Sus scrofa: one gene and its partner. The protein of the gene in region 1 interacts with the protein of each later gene in a biochemical or structural test. Links are inferred from orthologs where the notes say so. Each region holds a gene or a part of one and is shown on either strand. Other genes may lie near its edges. The genes, in order: PTPRB and CNTN1.

Evidence for each region.
Region 2: the proteins of PTPRB (region 1) and CNTN1 form a complex in vitro, tested with the Homo sapiens proteins (2 studies listed by BioGRID). The link is inferred for Sus scrofa from reciprocal best matches to the Homo sapiens genes PTPRB and CNTN1.

The regions. Positions count from the first base shown.
Region 1 is NC_010447.5:34,740,770-34,747,456, forward strand, and holds part of PTPRB (receptor-type tyrosine-protein phosphatase beta), read right to left. Parts: intron 5,595-6,687; coding exon 5,319-5,594; intron 4,446-5,318; coding exon 4,188-4,445; intron 2,315-4,187; coding exon 2,051-2,314; intron 1-2,050. UniProt on the Homo sapiens protein: Plays an important role in blood vessel remodeling and angiogenesis. Not necessary for the initial formation of blood vessels, but is essential for their maintenance and remodeling. Can induce dephosphorylation of TEK/TIE2, CDH5/VE-cadherin and KDR/VEGFR-2.
Region 2 is NC_010447.5:72,365,438-72,372,124, forward strand, and holds part of CNTN1 (contactin-1), read left to right. Parts: intron 1-2,694; coding exon 2,695-2,901; intron 2,902-6,020; coding exon 6,021-6,120; intron 6,121-6,273; coding exon 6,274-6,455; intron 6,456-6,687. UniProt on the Homo sapiens protein: Contactins mediate cell surface interactions during nervous system development.

The DNA of each region.
Region 1 (6,687 bases):
TTTAAAGTCCCATTTGAAAACCATTTTCTCCCTCTTTACAGATCTTCTGAAAGAAAGCTTTGTTCTCTTCTTTCTGACCATATATATGGCTCTTACCTGAGATCTCCAATCGCACAGACAACAGACTCTGGAATTGTACAGCCTAGTGTAAACCCACCACTTACTGGCTAGATTACTATAGACAAATCACTAAAGTGATTACGAATCACCGAATTATCTATAAAATGGTGATAATAACAGGGCCTTTCTTGTGGTTTTGTGGTGAGAACTAAACGAAATAATGGTGAAAAGTGTTTAGTCAATGTCTGATCCACGAATATATCAATACAATTATCATTATTAAAAGGCACTATTTTTATTTTGTGTTTGTCTTTTACATTTGTGTGATTAAAATTTAACTTCCTTAGAAGCAAAATGGTTGGCAAAGTAAATATTTCAGGCTTTGGGGATCATATAGGGTCTCTGTCTTGTACTTTTATTTTGTGTTCTTTTTTTTTTTTAATTTCTTTAAAAATGTAAAACCCACTCTTAGCTTGGTGCTATATAAAAACAGTTCACAGGCCATATTTGGCTGAAGGGTGTAGCTCCCGAACTCTGCTATTTTAACAACTTTCAAAGCTTTACACATGCAAATTACACAGTACTTTACACATGGAAGGCACTGGATATATGTTTGGTGATGTAAATTAATAAAATGGTTTATGGAAATCATGATTAAGGACTAACTGGCCCTTCATTAAAAGAGTTGATCATGGAAAACTGTTTGGGGGTACCTCAGAAAACTGAATATAGAACCACCATATGATCCAGCAATCCCACTACTGGGCATATATCTGGACAAAACTTTCATTCAAAAAGACACATGCACCCCTATGTTCATTGCAGCACTATTCACAACAGACAAGACTTGGAAACAACCTAAATGTCCAATGACACGTGAATGGATTAAGAAGACGTGGTACATATACACAATGGAATACTACTCAGTAATAAAAAAAAAAAGAACAAAATACTGCCATTTGCAGCAACATGGATAGAACTACAGACTCTCATACTAAGTGAAGTAAGTCAGAAGAGAAAGACAAATACCATATGATATCACATATCTGGAATCTAATATATGGCATAAATGAATCTACCTACAGAAAAGAAACAAATTCAAGGACATGGAGAACAGACTTGGAGTTGCTAAGGGGGAAGGGGAGCGGGGAGGCGGGAGTGGGATGGACTGGGAGTTTGGGGTTAGTAGATGCAAACTATTGCATTTTGGGTGGATAAGTGGTGAAATCCTGCTGTATAGCACAGGGAACTAAATCCAATCACTTGTGATGGAACATAATGGAGAATAATGTTAGAAAAAGAATGTATATATACATATAACTGGGTCACTTTGCTGTGCAGCAGAAATTGATGGAACACAGTAAATCAGCTATAATAAAAAATTTTAAAAATAGGGAGTTCCCATCGTGGCGCAGTGGTTAACAAACCCGACTAGGAACCATGAGGTTGCGGGTTCTATCCCTGCCCTTGCTCAGTGGGTTAAGGATCCGGCGTTGCCGTGAGCTGTGGTGTAGGTCATAGACGTGGCTCAGATCCCACGTTGCTGTGGCTGTGGTATAGGCCAGTGGTTACAGCTCCTATTGGACCCCTAGCCTGGGAACCTCTATATGCCGTGGGAGTGGCTCAAGGAAAGATAAAAAAAAAATAACAATAATAATAGCTGATCAGAAATTCTTTATTTATTAGTATCAATGCTAATTCATGTTGGCTGCTTAAGTGGTGTGACATGAAATAGCACAGGGCAGAGCCAGTTATCCAGATCATTCAGGAATCAATTCAAATAGATTTGCTTAAATAACTCAGATGAAAGCAATTAACCCTGCGCTTTACAGAGGGGGGACCCTGGCTCATAGACATTCTTAGCCATGGTAATGGCCATCATACTTCCCATTTTGGGAAAGGAATTTTCCTTCTAAAGTATTTTGTCCTGTTCTAAGATGAATCAGAGAGTGATTTGAGCAACTACGGAATTTCTGGAGCCTTGACTCACCTGTTCTGCCCACTGCTGTCTTGTGAGCAGACAATTCACCAGAGACACAGCTGATGGTAACTTGATAAAGTCGTCCAGGGGTTAAGTTTTTAAACTGAGTTTCAGTAATGTGGGGTGCTAATATTCTAGATTCTTTGACAGTCCCTTGGTGAGACAGGGTAAGGTTGTAGAAATCCACATTTCCAGAAGGTCTTTGCCACTTGGCTTTTAGAGAGGTCATAGTGCCATCATTTGTCACCTTCAGATTTGAGACTTCCATAGGGGCTAATCAGGAAGGAAAAGAAAGAGACTTTAACCCAGGACACCATACCACTCTTATGGGAAAATTCTGACCTGTATTTTAATCTCTACAAGCCACATTTTCTGCTCTGAAGAAAATGACTTCATGAGGTAAATATAATACTGCAAAACCAAAAAAAGGTTGTCTGGCTAGTGGAGAGAGAACAAAAATGGCAGTCAGGAGCCCAGATTCTGGCTCAAACTTGGCCATTGGTTGGTTGGGCAATTCTGGGCAGCTCAGTCTATCTCACTAAACCTAGGGGTCCTTATTGCCTAATGATGACTTGGTCAAAAAACTTAAAATGGCCTTTTCCAGTTCTAAAATTCTTTAAGTGGAATCCTCAGAGAAGTCTGTCTCTGCCTAATTTCTTCTCATTTTTATGTACATAATAATAGCAAGTACATAATAAATAGATTGGTTGGTTGATTGGCTATCACCAAATTCTGTGTGCTAAAATACTTTATTTTCATATTAAGTCATGATAAAGCTTAAGAGTTATGTCGTTATTTCATCAGAGGAAAATGGTTACAAAGGAGAGATACTTTGGTGGATATTTTTTCTACCTCTTTTCTTGCCTATGCTATAATTTTGGGTCTCACTAATGGTGTAATATAAATTAATAATGTTTCATTAAAGTAATGAGTACAACATGCTGATTTGCATAGGCCAAGTCAGAAGTGTAACTTGCTGTAGAGCTACATAATAATTCTTCAGCTAAATGGTATTTTTGTTGGGAATATCAATATATCTTTGAGATGTGATACGAAAGATATATAAATGAATAGGTGTCCCCAAAGATCTCTTCACCAAACTTCCTATAGTTTAAGGAACTTTCTCCACAATAGTAATTTCTCAGGCACTACATATTTTAGAGTTTCTCTTAAAATCACATAGCTTGCTAAAGGAGAGGACTTATTAACACATTACTCCTACCAGAAGCCTTAGAATCCACTTGAACCTAAGTTCCATGAGAACAAAGACTACGTCTCTCTTGGACATTGCTATATCCACAATGCCTAGCATATAGTTTACACATAATAAATACTGCTTAAATGAATGAATGCATGAATGAATGCGAATATAAATTATTTATTAAAACTTAGCACAAATTAGTTTTCTGGCTATGTTAGGCTATGAGAACAGCTCCTATAGCATTGGGTCTCAGGAGGTGTTTTATTGGCTAGATGGTTTGGGAAATGGCTGTTTCACGGCAGTAGGCCTTTGTATAGCACTGGGAAGCTATACGAAGCACTACTTCATTGCCAGTGAGTTCACAAAGGCAGAGGATGCCTGTTTTAGAGAAGGAAGTAGGAGTCCTTAACTAAAAAGAGAAGCTGACACTGTATCACTGATTAACTTTGCTATTCCAGAATGTTGTCAAGGGCTAGACTAAATGTGAATAAAAGGGAATCTCTAAAAAAGAATGTATACATATATATATATATATATATATACACACACACACACACACATATACATAAAAGAATGTACATACATATATGTGTGTTTGTGTATATAATGTGCATATATATATAATGTGTATATATATGTGTGTATACACATATATGCATGTATGACTGGGTCACTGCTATACAGCAGAAATTGACAGAACAATGTAAATCAACTATAATAGAAAAAATAAAAACCTAAAAAATAAAATAAATTAAAAGTAAGGAATAACACGGGGGGAAAAAAGGGAATCTATCTTTCTCTAAGCAGAAAAGTAGATAGGTCTTCTGTAACACATGGATTTCAATTTGTCCTATATTACCTTTATTCAAACCTTTAATAAACATTGTTATTTAAACATTTCCTTGATTTGAGGTTTATTCTTATTAGCTAGCTAGGGAAACTTACTTGTCCTGGCTGGTTTCCATCTGTAGTTTTGCAGCCCTGCAGCCTCGGTAACAATGGTGACATTATAGAGGTGACCAGGTGTCAGTCCATGAAAAGCATAGGAAGTAGTAGATTTGTCCACAGTATTACTATGAACTAGAATCCCTTTGTCCATTAGCATCAGGTGGTATCGTTCTAGGTTCCCAGGGCCACGTGACCAGGAAATCAGGAGGGAATTAGTTTCCGCTGAAATACCAACATCTTTCACTGGGGATGGCACTAGTGGGATAAAATGCATTTCCAAGGTGTCATTCATAATTTCCTTGTAGAAGATAGAGACCCATTTAATTTGAAATCACAATTCATTTATGCTTCTCTGTACACCTAACTTGTGTGATAACTAATGAAAACACCACTCCTGAAATTTTACTGGAACCTGGATTAATGCCCTTTTCAAAACCCACAGCTTAAAGCTACATCATAGTTTACCTGTTTGTCTCCTTCACTTAGCAGGTATTAAGGTCGATTTTGCCAATGAAGTTTGATGGAGCATAGCAGTAAAGAGAAAAGAAAAAGGAAAGAACTAGAGAAAATGAAACAGAAAGAGAGCAACAAAGAAGGCGAGAAAACCAGGGAAGACTGAATGGTAAGAAAGTCCATTATGGAAGGAAATGGTAATTGATATCGGATGTGTGGGTACAAGCAAAGGCTTGTTCCAAACAGCTGAATATTTGGGAAACACCATGACTTGATGTTATGAGAAGAATATATAGCGGAGGGAAAATATTTTAAAAATAAGTTTTATGGAAAAAACTGAGAAAATGAGGCAGAAATTTCTGCTGCTTTAGATATGCATTAGAAGGGCCACTGGGAAATAGCTTCTTCATCCTGGTGAAAATTCCAGTCCCAGAGAAATTCCATAACTTGCTCAAAGTCACCCAGCAAGCTAGAAGCCCAACCACACCTCCTTGTTTCCAGTCCAGTCTTTTCCTTGTGATCGAGCAGCATTTGTTTGTCTATCTATCATCTATCTATCTACCAATCTATTTATTTTTGAACTCAGGGCATTCTTACTCCCATTTCTTGAATTTAATATAATTTCCAAAGAAGCACAGATTGTTAAATACCAAACTATCTGTAAAGAAGTCTTACCTGTTGATCCATTGGTATAAATTGTAAAGGAACGTTTATCTCCAGAAATAGCTGTGATGGCAATATTGTATTTATTACCAGCAGTGAGGTTTAAAAATGTATATTCATTCCGTGCAGTTCTTTCTTGAATTTGGGCCCCCTGTGTCTTTTGGTTATCATCCAGTAGCTGCACCTCATACCAGGTGACTTTGCCCGAAGAAGGAGTCCACCAAACATGCAAGCTGGTGGAAGTAGTTTTCTCTTTACTGACTTCAAACCTGGCAGGAGGTAAAGGATCTGTAGGGCAAAAACCCAAAAAAAGAGAAGGTACCTTGAAGACTTTTGCTGATACATTTTTACCTTGCTGAAATCCAGATTCATTTTCCTTCAAGACTTTAAGAATCTGCTGCCAATGAAATAAACAGGTATCTTACACCACTTCCAAACTTACCATTTCACTTGGAATAGAAACCCACCTAGCTACCAGTCATATAACTCCTTTTTCTGATAAAAAAAATTTTTTGAAGACAGCTCTGAGTTTGGAAACCCAAGCAAGCTTCTATTTACTTTGGCTTGCAAGTTTTGCACTTTTCAAACATTGACAAACATCTAGGCTCTGCCTGGATAAATACCGAACATCTCAATCAAAAATATAGATTTTAAGAAATAATTTTAAAATTTGTACCAAATTTTCTCTTTTTTTTTAGGTTGTGGGTTTGGGGGGTTAAGCATACACAACTTTGGGGGAGCAGCTGGAGATCAGAAAACCACAAAAGATACAGACTTGATTATGAGCCTAGGCTAGGCGTGCTCATTCAAATGAATTCTTTCAATAACTGGTATTCCCTATATCCCTAGACTTTCTAAACTTGAGTTCTGGGTCATTTTGGAGCTGCTGAAGCTCCCAGAGCAGGTGGAAACGGGTTAGTCCTATAACTGGCTATTCATTTAGTTTCAACTCTTTATGCCACGGGTCAGTTTGAGGAGACCTCTATCCCGTATACTGAATTCTCACTGTAGAACTTGAAATACAAGGGACAGCATGTCTCCAGGTTAGGAACTAAGACAATAATGTTTAGTGAGCAGATGATGCAGTGGGACCATTCGAGAAATAAGGCTCTCCCTATGCTGAATGTTGAGAATAAGAAACATTGACAGATTTTACATATTAATAATTTTCAGAAATCCTACATGGTTCTTGGTCTAGAGAATACAATCAAAATCTGGGAGACTAATTTTCAAGAATCAGGTTAGAGGCTTTAGTGGCATGGCTGTAGAGCACTCAGTTCTTAGCTACCTCTTGGTAAATTATATTTTACTCATGAAATAACCTGAGGGATTCTAGCATCTTTGTAGAACAGCGTATGTTTTAAGAAAGTGTTCACTTGTG
Region 2 (6,687 bases), about 38 Mb from region 1:
AAACACATCCTGCAGCCCAATATGAAAAAAACAACCAACCCCATTAAAAAATGAGCAGAAGATCTAAACAGAAAATTCTCCAAAGACATACAGATGGCCAAAAAAAAAAAAAAACCTACATGAAAAGATGCTCAACATCACTAATTATTAGAGAAACGCAAATCAAAACTACGATGAGTTACCTCCTTAAACCAGCCCGAATGGCCATCATCAAAAATTCTATAAACAATAAATGCTGGAGAGGATGTGGAGAAAAGAGAAACTTCTTATGCTATTGTGAGAATATAAATTGCCGCAACCATTATGGAACACAGTATGGAGATTCCTCAAAAAACTAAAACTAGAATTATAATTTGATTCAGCAAATCCACTCCTGGGTATCTATCCAGAGAAACCATGACTTGAAAAGATACATGTACCCCAATGTTCATTGCAGCACTATATACAACAGCCAGGTCATGGAAGCAAACTAAATGTCCATTGACAGAAGAGTGGATAAAGAAGACGTCATGCATATACACAATGGAATATTACTTACCCAAAAAACTGAATGAAATAATGGCATTTTTAGCAACATTGGTGGACCTAGAAATTTTCATGCTAAGTGAAAATAGACAATGATACACAAACATCATATGCTAACACTTATATGTGGAATCTTAAAAAAAGGATGCAATGAACTTATTTGCAGAACAGAAAGTGACTCACAGATTTTAAAATACTTACAGTTACCAAAGGATACTGGTTGCAGGGGAAGGGGTGGGCTGGGGGTTTGGGTTGAAAATGTTGTAAAATTGGGTTGTGATGATGGTTATACAACTATAAATATAAAAAAATTCACTGAGTTTAAAAAATTTTTGAAAATTACCTATCCAGGAAATACTTCAGTTCCTTGTATGTATTTCAAAGAGAAGTATACATTATTTAGCAAGGTTGTATACGTGATGGATTTCAGAGTAATACAGTGAAACTAGCCAAATGTCCTCTGGTTGCCAAAAGAAATCCTCTCTTTCATATTGTCCAGACTTTCTTGCAGCAAAGGGGAGAAATCTCAGACATCTATCAATAAAAAGCAACATTTTTGAAGCAGGTGCCAGCACCGAAATCTTCCTAAAAAATAAGTTTTTAATAATCTATTATAAGCAAGACAACAGTGCTATGAGGAAAACAAGTGTTGGCTTCTTCAGAAATGGTTAATTTTACCATCCACATGAGGCAGGGGAAGACAGATTAAAAAAATAATCCATTGAGTTCCTGTGAGAATTGGGTCAGAGTTTAGCTCTTGATTGCCAGAATTAGGTCTCATTCTTAAGTCTGAGCAGAGCAGAGCAGCTGCAACACCAATAATGGGGCAATTTTGGTAGTTCTGGTGTGGAGAAGGAGGTCAGGAGATCAGTTCTGCCTCCCTGTTGCTGTATGATCTTGGGCAAGTCAACCCAGCTAAACCTCTGTGCACCTGTTTAAAAATGGCAATGACAATTCCTACTTTTGTTTTCATGACAAACAATAGCTTCTAATATATGGCAATTATGATTTTGCTGAAATGGATGACTTATCAGTGTGCAAAATTCATTAAATAAATATATTTTAAATCTTACAATACCACAGCAGCAAAGACCAAATCTGTCTTGTTTAGTGGCACATAGAAGGTACTTAGTGTATGTTAAATAAGTAAACTGGATAATCTATATTGGGCCTCAAAAGAACAGACCAATTGCTATGTAGTCTAAGACTTCATACCACAATAACTTCTCTGACCTAGTTTATCCCATTCCTCTTTTCTTATGAGGGGTACATAGAAAATTTTCTTAAAATTTAGAGAAATTATGAAATAGAGTGATTAAAATAACCTGACCAAAGTCTAGAATTAAAATGCAGATAATTTAATTAAGCAATTTAATTAAATATATATAATTCTATATTCACATAACTATGGAGTACACTGACCATTCTGAAGGCAACTTCATGATTTCATGGTGACTTGAAATCATTGTGTGGTTGAGAAAATCCTTTTTCCATAGGAAATCTATACTTCACTCTTTTTGACTTTTTTAACTTTTTTACTTGTGGCCATAAATCATTACAAAAATATCCACTTTCTTTTTATATGAGAACAGGGAAAATTACTTCAAAAGGTTTACAGTCTATTAAAGTAAATATACTGTAAATATTCTTTTGGATCAACAAGTACATGCATTTGGGTGTGGGCCTAAAAAGACAAAAAGTAAAAAGTGAAAAAAAGTAAAATAGGAGTACAAAAAGTAAAAGGATATAAAGTGATAGTACGGTTAGTAATCTTGATTTCATTTATAGATTGCAGTAGGGAAAATGGATTATGAATTTTAGAATTATCAGACCTGGATTCAGAATCCCAATTCCACTTAACAGTCATGAAATTCTAAATTATTTACTTAACATCTCTGAGTTTTATTTATCCCATCAATGAAACAAAAATTAAAAGTATGATAAACCCATAAAATAATTGAGAGAAGTAGATAAAATTGTTTAGCACTATGCTTACAATCAATCAAACTATAGTAGTAGCTTTTAGAAAATTGGCACTATTTATCTTGGCTTACATCCAACATTTGCTCTTCAAAAGCCTAGATTAGATTATGTTTAGCCTATTACTAGAAAATAAAATCTTTACTTTTGAGAAGAGCTTAATATTTAGTACACAATATTTTCTTCTAGATGATCTTAGCTACCGCTGGCTTCTAAATGAATTTCCTGTATTTATCACAATGGATAAACGAAGATTTGTGTCTCAGACAAATGGTAATCTCTACATTGCGAATGTTGAGGCATCAGACAAAGGCAATTATTCCTGCTTTGTATCCAGTCCTTCTATTACCAAGAGTGTGTTCAGCAAATTTATCCCACTCATTCCACTACCTGAACGTAAGTATTTTATTTGTTACACTCTGTATTTTGCAAGTTTGTCTGCTTATAGCATACTAATAATAGTGAAAAGAAATATCTAGTGGGGCATTCCCTGGTAGCTCAGCGGGTTAAGGATCCGGCATTGTCACTGCTGTGGCTCTGGTTACAGCTGTGACGAGGGTTGGATCCCTGGCCTGGGAACGTCCATATGCCTTGGGTTCCTTGGGGAGACTCTGGCAAGGCATATAGAGAATACAAACTTTGAAAATCTTGGTCTTTCCTTAGCTTTCCTCATAGTGAAAACTGATATCATAAAATTTCCCTGAGACAGCTGACTTTGGACTGGTTGCCTGTAGTTCAGGGAATGCATAGGGAACTGAATCATTAGCCAAATACTAGTTTGTTGATTTCACCAGCATCTTTTTGTTTCATGACTAATTTCACCTACTAGTAAATTCATGGAAGATAACAAGTGATTAAATAAAACCAAACTATATTGATTAGAGAATTAGGGTGAAAAAGGCAGTTGGATTATTTGGGTATTTTAAAGGAACTATTTATGTGAAGCAATAGTTCCTTTAAAGCCCATTCTTGACTGGGCTTTTCCAAGATTCCAATTAAACTACCTTCCATTTTTTTAATGCACCACTTCCTGAGAAAATCAGATCACAGTATATTTTCTTACTTCACATTAGTTTATCGCAATCTTGCTGCTACTGAGTTCACGCTTCCAAGGAAATACTGGTTCTGTTTTTGGCAGATTTAGGTTTGGTTCCTGTCTCTACCCCTAAGCTTCATATGATAATGGAGTAAATTCCAATATATCACAAAAATTCTATTTTCATTAGTCTTTTCAAGATGGCCACCACATGGTTAGTATTCAATAAATATCTTCCGATTTTCTGGCTCTCTCATCCCTCCCAAGTCTTAAGAGAGATTCTTACCACTACTTCAGAGAGTGAAAGGAAACCATCATGTAGAAACTTCCCTAATTTTCTTCCCTATGGTCCCCCCAAAATTTAGTACTTCGATTTACCTCTTACTTTCTGTCTCATTTGGGAGAAGTGTTTTTCCTGCCAGTCAGGCTAATCCCTCCAGTTGCTCTGGCTCCATCCTTTTTGATTCCTTTCGGCATGTGATATATCACTTTTTCCTTTCTTTTCTGAATCTTAAAATCTTCCTACATGCCTTTCATGTATTCTTTTGTAGTCAATGAAAACAATCTTGAATAATCAAAATGACTTCTTATTTGCTGAATACAAAGGATATTTTCAGGCTTGATCCTGTGCAAACTTTGACACTGTTGATCTCATCTGTTTCTTTTGAACTCTATCTTTTTTCCTAATTTTTCTGACTCCTTCTGCCTCTTTTCATTGCCTCCTTGCCTGGTCAACAAATTCTATGCAGTATCCTCTATCAGATCTTTCTCCTAATATTCATTTCTAATCTTTTTCTAAGTATTCTTATTCATTTACAACTTTTTCAATAATAACCCTATGTGGATAATTCTAAATTCACATCTCCAAAATTTTTTCCTGGGCTAGGTCTTTATCTATATCCTGGGCTTGCCACACAGAAGGTTCTCAAGGATTTCAGTTTGAAACATGACAAACACACCTGTTAGTGCCTCTCTAAACATCCTCTTCTGGTGTTCTTGATCTCATTTAGCAACATTGTCATATACTTCATTTATCAGTAAGTCAGGGCAGGATTTTTCATCATCAGCTCCTCTCTACTGTCATCCTCAGGACAGCGATTCCAAGGGTCCTCATTTAGTAGATAAGCACTTGAGAAGTTTGAGGAAAATGTGGAACCCAGAGATAGTGACTCAGCACACCTAGGATGTGACCCAGGGATCTATAACTTCAGTGAGCATCCCAGGTGATTCTGCTGGGTTTTTACCTTGAGTAAGCATTGATACAAGGGGCATTCCTGTTGATTCTGCTTCTAAAAGGCAGCTTGGATCTCTTCCTCCTTTCTGCTCTCACTGTGACCATGCCCTAGATCATACCTTCACCTATTTTTCTGAATTTACAAAGCACCCTCCCTTAGATCTCTTTTGTATTTTTCCATCCTTTAAAATGCCAACAAGAAACCAAAGGTAAGATTCATGCTATTTCTCTTCTTAAAGCCTATTGGTAGTTACCCACTGAGGAAATTAGTCTCAAAATATTTAATATCATGGTTTCAAGCCTCCTAGATTGTAAGTGCAAGCTCATCTTCCCCACTACATAAATATCAATATCGTTTTAATTCTTAGGTCTTTTATAATTCCCACACACTTCTGATACTGTATTATAATATGCTATTTCTTTAACCTGAACTGATCTGTTTCATATGCCCTCTTTGCCTGAAATTCCCTTGGTCCCTACATACTTACAACAAATATCCTTGGCTACCACCCTTACTGGGCATTTATTTTTATTTTGACTTACATCTCAACTACTTGTGTATCTGTTGGTCTCTCTAATGTTATACAGTGTAAAGTACACACATATGTTGTGGTCTTAAACAGTGTACTTAGCCTTCCTGGGTGAATTTCTTCCATTATAAGGTTGAGGGAATAATACATATTTCAGTACAGATAGGCTAAATAAGTGTTGTCATTGATGAGCACAGACATGCTTAAATAAAGATTTTTCTTTTCTTCTCTCCTCTCTTTTCAAATTGTTTCTTTGCTTTCATCTCTAGGACAATACTTTCTTCCTTACTTCTCTTTCCTTGCCTCTCCTCTTTCTTTTCCTCTCTCTTCTCTTATCTCTCATTTCTTTTCTTCTCTTTTTTCTTGATTCCCATATAGTACCTGGAACAATGTTTAACACATATTTGATGCTCCCTAAAGAACTGAATTGTCCAGTGATGTTTAACACATTTGTTCTTTAACTGAGTTGTCCAGTGAGTTGGATCACATTGGTCACACAGTTGTCAGAATGAGTCAATATGATTGAAAGTGCTTAATAAAATTTATATTGTATGAATACCATGCACAAACAAATCAATACACTGTGATGTGATTAGATAATTTCCAGACGTCTATTTTGAAGCAATTCTAATTCTGTACAAATCACAATGTTGCAAAACACTACTCTGCTTACTGCTGATATTTTTGTTTTATTTTGTTTTCCTTTTGTAATTAGGAACAACAAAACCATATCCTGCTGATATTGTAGTTCAATTCAAGGACATATATGCATTGATGGGCCAAAATGTTACTTTAGAGTGTTTTGCACTTGGCAAGTAAGTAGACTCACAGTTTTCCTTAATGTATATAGAACTGCATTAAATTTTATATTGTTTTAGGAAAGAAATGTTGTAAATGTTTAGTTATATATATAGATCAATTGCCTTTTAAGTGCTGTGCTAGTAGCTCTTGTTACCTCCTATTTAAAGTCCTGTTCCTGATATCCGGTGGCGGAAGGTCCTGGAACCAATGCCAAGCACGGCTGAGATCAGCACCTCTGGAGCTGTCCTCAAGATCTTCAATATTCAGCTAGAAGATGAGGGCACATATGAATGCGAGGCTGAGAACATTAGAGGAAAGGATAAACACCAGGCAAGAATTTATGTTCAAGGTAGATATATTGTTTTAATCCTCCATGCATTTAATATATATATTTTTTCGCCACCCCATGTCATATGGAGTTCCTGGACCGGGAATCAGAATCAGATCTGAGTCGCAGTTGCTTGATCCTCAACCTACTGTGCTGGACTGAGGATCGAACCCACACCCGTGCTCCCAAGATACCACCAATCCCATCACACCACAGCAGGAACTCCTAATCTTTTTAAAAGCACCCATTTTCA